Linked DNA regions of Sus scrofa. The protein of the gene in region 2 interacts with the protein of the main gene of each other region in a biochemical or structural test. Links are inferred from orthologs where the notes say so. Each region holds a gene or a part of one and is shown on either strand. Other genes may lie near its edges.

The links.
Region 1: the proteins of DCAF11 (region 2) and SLBP form a complex in vitro, tested with the Homo sapiens proteins (2 studies listed by BioGRID, with this or other methods). The link is inferred for Sus scrofa from reciprocal best matches to the Homo sapiens genes DCAF11 and SLBP.

What each region holds. Positions count from the first base shown.
Region 1 is NC_010450.4:802,208-805,376, forward strand, and holds the end of SLBP (histone RNA hairpin-binding protein), read right to left. Parts: intron 1,647-3,169; coding exon 1,530-1,646; 3' UTR 733-1,529; downstream 1-732. UniProt on the Homo sapiens protein: RNA-binding protein involved in the histone pre-mRNA processing.
Region 2 is NC_010449.5:75,174,401-75,178,211, reverse strand, and holds part of DCAF11 (DDB1- and CUL4-associated factor 11), read left to right. Parts: intron 1-215; coding exon 216-280; intron 281-798; coding exon 799-899; intron 900-1,129; coding exon 1,130-1,276; intron 1,277-1,487; coding exon 1,488-1,542; intron 1,543-1,986; coding exon 1,987-2,055; intron 2,056-2,667; coding exon 2,668-2,725; intron 2,726-2,821; coding exon 2,822-3,007; intron 3,008-3,453; coding exon 3,454-3,607; intron 3,608-3,811. UniProt on the Homo sapiens protein: May function as a substrate receptor for CUL4-DDB1 E3 ubiquitin-protein ligase complex.

The DNA.
Region 1 (3,169 bases), on a different chromosome or scaffold from region 2:
AGTGTGAGGATCGACTTCCTCAGCGCCTGAGAGCATTCTAAGTATTTAGATGTGGGACTAGCATCCATGAGGTTGCGAGTTCGATCCCTGGCCTTGCTCAGTGGGTTCAGGATCCAGTGTTGCTGTGAGCTGTGGTGTAGGTCGCAGACGCGGCTCAGATCCCAAGTTGCTGTGGCTGTGGTGCAGGCCGGCAGCTACAGCTCCAACTCGACCCCTAGCCTGGGAACCTCCATATGCCCCGGGTGTGGCCCTTAAAAGACAAAAGCCAGTAGCTTCGGATGTGAAGCAAAAGCCAGCAGCCAGGGTGACTCTTCTCAAGCGGAGTCAGCTATCTTGGCTGTGGGCTGGCGGCAGTGCCCACCAGCGGAGCTGCTCCAGGGCAGAGGCGTGGCCCTGGTGTCTCAGTAACACAGAAAGGCCATCACCCCAGCTGCTGAGGAAGCATCAAACCAGCGTCCCTGGCTTGCTTGCTCGCTCGCTTGCTCGTTCGTCTGCTGGGCCCACACCTCCCTCAGCCGGGAGGCCCGAGTCTGGGGGAAGCACAGGGAGCCGGGGGAAGCACAGCAGGTCTGGCTCTGGCTCTGGCCCTGGTCTGACCAAGACCCCAGGGCAGAGCTCCAACCCCACCGCCCGAGGTCCTCGGCCCGGGCCACGCCCCCGCCACCACGCCCGCCCTCCCTGAGCCTCCAAACGCGCTCATCCCAGCAGTCAGCCCGTCTGGCGACGCACCAAGTCAGTTAAAGGTCCCTTTTATTTTCGCAATGTCATTCCATACAAAAGCAACAGAAACATAACAGTCTTAACAAGAAGTTTACAATTGAGTATCAGAACAGAAAATCTGTACACATTATCATTTACAGCAATTTTACATGTAAATTAACTGATTGTAAAAAAAAAAAGTTCTTTCTAAGCCCCTCTGCTGCCTGACCTCTTGGAGTATTACAGGTAGAAGGCCTACCCAGCACTATTTACAAGTAGCAGATGAAGACTGTAAAACTTACATAAAACCCATTAACGTACCAGCTCAAGCTCATACCTGACTATTCGGTGCTGTGTGAGGAAAAAACCAGCCCTGACATACTGACAAACAGCCAGAAATGAATCTGATTATGATCCTCAGACACCCGAAAGGAAAGCTGAAGCTAGATCGGTCCCGAGAACACATGTTAAACCCAAACCAGCCCTCTGACGAAGAGCAACTTAATACCCGAAACACTTGCGGAAAACCAGGTGAGGGATGCCTGTGGGTTCAGCTGAAGGATGGAGGAGACTGAGCCATTACGGCTGTCACAAGACGGCCTCAAGTTTAATGTTCCTTGAATTCAGTTCCATCTTCAATTTAAAACATGCAAAATACACTCCCTATACGTAAAATTAATTTTCTCAAGAAAATAAGGCAAGAACAGCAATCCACGTGAGACAATACTATTAACAGGAAACAACGGGTTCCAGATGCAGGGCGCCTCGCCGGCCTCCTCCTGGGCAGGGAGCGGGGCAGCCCGGCTCCCAGGGGCTTCCGGGGGCACCGGTTAGCTCATGGCCGAGAAGTCTTTCAGGGGCTCCGTTAAACACGCTTCCAAGTCGAACTCATCCTCCAGCGGGCAGTCCACGTGTCTGACCTTGGTGGGTGTGCCACAGTACACGTCCTAGAAGGGAGCAGAGGCACACTCGTCCTCAGGCCCTGGGCTCGCTGCTGCTGGGCTGTCAAGCACGGGCGGCTCACCCACGCGGGAGCGGGTGCCCCGGGCCAACGGCGCCACCAGCCAAGGCCAGTGCAGGCTGGACGCTCGCCTCCGAGCCCAGATGGAGCCACTAATTCCAACCCACAGATAACATCCGACTCAACGGCCAGGGGACGCGTGCCACTCCCGCCCGCCAACTCCACCCAACTGGAAACCAACGGACCCTTTAAGGCTTCGTACGGCAGCCACTCAACTCCGCCGGCAGCTGGCCCACGTGCCCTCGGAGGCAGAACCACATCAAACCCGCCCAGGCAGGCCAGCCTCAGCTCTAGCACTGGGCTGAGGACGGCCCCTTCCATCCCAGCCCCAGACGGGGGCCGCTTCCACACCCCCAACCGTGGCCTTCTGGCCCAGAGGGTCCCCCCCGAATCTAATCCCTGAGGAAACAGGGTGGCAACGTCCAGGTGAGGAACACGCGGCCTCATAAGAACTGGCTTGAGCTCTTCGAGAGCCAGCGTTGCGAGGGGAAAGCAGGAAGGCAACTCTAAGTTAAAGGACATTTAAGAGACACGGCAACAAGGAGTTCCCGTCGTGACGCAGTGGTTAACGAATCCGACTAGGAACCATGAGGTTGCGGGTTCGGTCCCTGCCCTTGCTAAGTAGGTTGACGATCCGGCGTTGCCGTGAGCTGTGGTGTGGGGTCGCAGACGTGGCTCTGCCGTAGGCCAGCGGCTACAGCTCCGATTGGACCCCTGGCCTGGGAACCTCCATATGCTGTAGGAGCGGCCCAAGAAATAGCAAAAAAGGACAAAAAAAAAAAAAAAAAAAAAGAGAGAGACACGGCAATGAAACGTAATCCCTGACTAAATTCTGGGTCAAAAAAAGAGAAAAAGTCCTGTGGAAAGGACATTATTGGGACAAGTAAGAACCCCGAGCACAGCCTGTTTGTCAGGCAGCAGCACTGACCGGCGTAACACTTCTCGAGCGCAAGCATCGGCGTGTGGCTGTGCCAGGGTCTGGTGAAGCCCAACAGGCAGCCGGCTTTCCAGCGCTAAGGGACTCCTGGGGACAGTTACATGGGCACGGGCGGAACTCGGTGACTCGCCGCCTTAGCCCAGCTTCCCCCCTGCCTCCAGCACACCCCCTGCCTGAGGGCCGCCCTCCCGGAGGCCCCCGGACCCCGGCCTGGCTCTGTCTCCCTCCAGCTCCTCCTACCACCAGTGCCAGGTTCAGAATCTTGAGCTGGGGAAGGACTTTTCGGTTGTTCTTTTTAGGGCCGCACCCATGACACATGGATGTTCCCAGGCTGAATCGGAGCTGCCGCCGCCGGCCTACACCACGGCCACGGCCACATGGGATCTCAGCCGCGTCTGCGACCTACACCACAGTTCACAGCAACACCGATCCTTAACCCACTGAGCGAGGCCAGGGATCAAACCCGCATCCTCATGGCTACTCGTCAGGTTCATTACCCCGAGCCACAACGG
Region 2 (3,811 bases):
AGCCCGCCTGACAGCAGCCCTATCAATGTAGCCAGAAGCTACAAGGGCTGGAACTGGAACACTCTTAGCCAACCTGCATTGGGCTTTGGTGGGATGAACTACTGGGTATGGGTATTTTGTCTGTAGCAAGAACAGTATCTTTGGAGGAGGGGGCTTGGTGTGCCTGAAGTGGCCCTCTGTTTCTGCTAGCAATATTCCCCAATCCCTTCCTTTAGAGAGAACGGGGCCTCTGCCACCGGGGAAGCTTCTCCCTTGGAGAACAGTCTCGAGTGATGTCTCAGTGAGTATGGGGCTTGGTGAAGAGATCCCAAGGGCCAGATAGGTCTTATCTCCTAAACTTTGAAGAGACCAATGTTAAAGGATCCTTAGGGATATTCAGGTAAGGTTACATGGGGTTGAGGCTTTGAGAATAAACAAAATGGCAAAGTATAGCAATTGAGGGGATGATAGATGAATGAAAGAAAGAGACTGTGGAGTTCCCACCATGGCACAAAGGGATCATTGGCGTCTTGGGGGCGCTGGGGCACAGGATTGATCGCCAGCCATCCGGGCACAGTGGGTTAAGGATCCAGCATTGCCGCAGCTTCAGCTTAGGTTGCAGCTACATCTTGGATCTGATCCCTGGCCCAGGAACTCCATATGCCATGGGGCAGCCAAAAAGCAAAAGAAAAGAAAGAGGCTTGTACCCAAGCTAAAAGGAAATATCCTCTGTACACACATCCAGCTCTGTTAGGATTCTACTAACCGGGACACTGCCTGTGCTGAGCTCCCCTTACACTCATTTCCTCTGTTCCCCAGCTTCTTGCCCAATGATCTGGGCTTCATTGATACCTACTCCCAGAAGGCTTTCTGTGGCATCTACAGCAAAGATGGTCAGATCTTCATGTCTGCCTGCCAAGGTATCAGACCCTAGTCCTACAAACTGCCCTAGAACAAGAGGTGGTCCCCCTGCCTAGGGCTAGAAAGCCCCAGGCCCCAGGGGCTCAGATCCTGGCTTAGGGATGCCTGGCCAGAACACATTGCCCATGATCAAGGGCAGATTCCACAGCTGCACTGAGTGAGAGAGGTCTGATCTAGGGAGGATTCTGGGAGAGTGTCCCCTAATTCTGCCTGATCCCCACTTACACAGACCAGGTAATCCGAATGTATGACTGCCGGTATGGCCGCTTTCATAAGTTCAAGAGCATCAAGGCCCGGGATGTCGGCTGGAGCGTCTTGGATGTGGCCTTCACCCCTGATGGGAATCATTTCCTTTACTCCAGCTGGTCTGATTACAGTGAGTAGGCCCCAGACCACCACGGTGGCTCCAGCCTGGGACCTGAGCTCTCCAAAGGCCCATCTCCTGGGAGCCAGGACTCTGCGCCTTCTCCTGGGCAGATCGCCCCCCAGGGTGGACATCCTTGCCCTTTGTTCCATCACCTCCCAGCCTCACTTCCACCCTCCGTACCCCAGCCCTGAAAGAGTCTTGTTTCTCTTGCTTCTCTTAGTTCATATCTGCAACATCTACGGGGAGGGAGACACACACACAGCCCTGGATCTAAGGTACTGGCTTCCCTTCCTGGTCAGACTCATCAGAAACCTCTCAAGGTGTAGCTCCAATTCAACCCCTAGCCTGGGAGCTCCTATATGCTGCAGGTGCGGCCCTGAAAAGCCAAAAACCCGAAAAACAAAACATCTCTCAAGGAAGGCTCTCTAGGAGCAAACGTCTTTAACTGGAACTCCTGCTTAGAGGGAAAAGTACACTGGTTGCAAGTTTCTCTGTGTGGATTCCCAGGAGGGAAGCATCTAGCCTGTCATGCAGAGGACCAGGGTGCAGTGGGCGGCTGTAGGCTTCTTCCCAGTGTCTCACTGAGGTGCTGCCCATTCTAGCACATGCTGGCAGGGGTCCTTTCCCCCACAGCGGTGTGCCTCACGGCCCTCGTCAGATTCTCTGTAGATGAGCTGGGGTGGAGGGACTTCACGCAGCCACTCCTTTGCTCTTTTCAGGCCTGTTGAGCGTCGCTTTGCCGTCTTCTCCATCGCCGTGTCTTCAGATGGACGAGAAGTGCTTGGAGGGTGAGTGTGTGTGGGGATGTGTCCCTTGCTTAATGAGACAGGAGTTCTTCCAGAAGCCATCTCTGCCATTACAGAGATGGCACTGGACCCCTGTACCCAGGCAGCTGTGGAGAACAACCAGGCCTTCCCCAGGGTCAAGGTTTCTGAGTTACTTCACCCCTCGCTCACCGTTTCCCCAGCATGAGATGGGAGAGCTCATACCTCCTTGTAAACACAGCTAACTCTTCTCCCATCTCCTGCATAACTCTTCTCCCATCGTGGCTCAGTGGTAGTGAACCTGATTAGTATCCATGAGGACGCAGTTTGATCCCTGGCCTCGCTTAGTAGGTTGAGGTTCTGGTGTTGCCGTGAGCTGTGGTGTAGATCGCAGACGCCAGAACCTGTGGCTGTGGCTGTGGCATAGGTGGGCAGCTACAGCTCCAATTGGTCATCTGCCCTGAGAACTTCCATATGCCGAGGGTATGGCCCTAAAAAGACAAAAAAAAAAAAAAAAGAGACAAGCACTTGCTCCTCCATAGGACTTTGAGACACAGTCTCTCCAGAGCACATGGAGCATTGGTCTGGCTCCATTGTGGTCCTGGCTCCATACCCTCTTTATCTCCTTCCTTTCAGGGCCAACGATGGCTGCCTGTATGTCTTTGATCGAGAACAGAATCGGCGTACCCTTCAGGTATTGCTCCCAAGACGGAGCCTCTGCCTCCTGGTCCTTGGCCTATGGGAAGACCTAGAAAGAGGTCGTAGGCACCCTGGCCTCCTTTTCCCCTAGATTGAATCCCATGAGGATGATGTGAATGCAGTGGCCTTTGCTGACATGAGCTCCCAGATCCTGTTCTCCGGGGGTGATGATGCCATCTGCAAAGTGTGGGATCGACGCACCATGCGGGAGGATGACCCCAAGCCTGTGGGTGCGCTGGCTGGACACCAAGATGGCATCACTTTCATTGACAGCAAGGTGGGCACAGAGGCAGGACCTGCCTGCACAGCCAGGCTGCTGAGGTTCCTGTTGTCCAGGAGGGCGTCAGAGTGGACGGGCATGGGAACTCACCAAGCTCCTCCTTAGCCAAGGTTTGCAAGAGCTGGAGGTTAAGGAAGAGGCTTAAGCCACGAGACATGAGATCCGTTAGTACCACCACTCCTCAAGGAGCAGCTTTCTATACAAGGAAAGTAGAAGACAGTCTGATCCAGGATAGAATAGGAGCCCAGCCAGCGCCCTGGGCAAAGAAGGGGAAACCTAACCAGTGGGTGGGGTCTGTGGCTCGGTCTGCCTGGATGAAGAAAAGAGGCGACCAAAGTGAAAAGACCAGCGCTCTTACTCCTTCACGGGGGAGGAGGAGCCAGCCTGACAGCCACTGACATTTGCAAGTTCTGACACTTCATCATCCATCTTGGGATTCACAGGGTGACGCCCGATATCTCATCTCCAACTCCAAAGACCAGACCATCAAGCTCTGGGATATCCGCCGCTTTTCTAGCCGGGAAGGTATGGAAGCCTCACGCCAGGCTGCCACACAGCAAGACTGGGACTACCGCTGGCAACAAGTGCCCAAAAAAGGTGAGAGTGGAAGTAGAACCCAAGATCTGAAGAGTGAACAATTGGGGGTGGTAGTTAAAATATTTGACCCCTGGTAAGGCCTGGCCAGAGCACGGTAGGTGGGTGTAGGAGGAGGGCTGTAGCCTGGAGCGAGAGTCCTAGAGGCCCTTCCTGATTCACCTTTGCCAGGCATTAACGCTTTTTGCTGAACCATGGGAGAGCCAG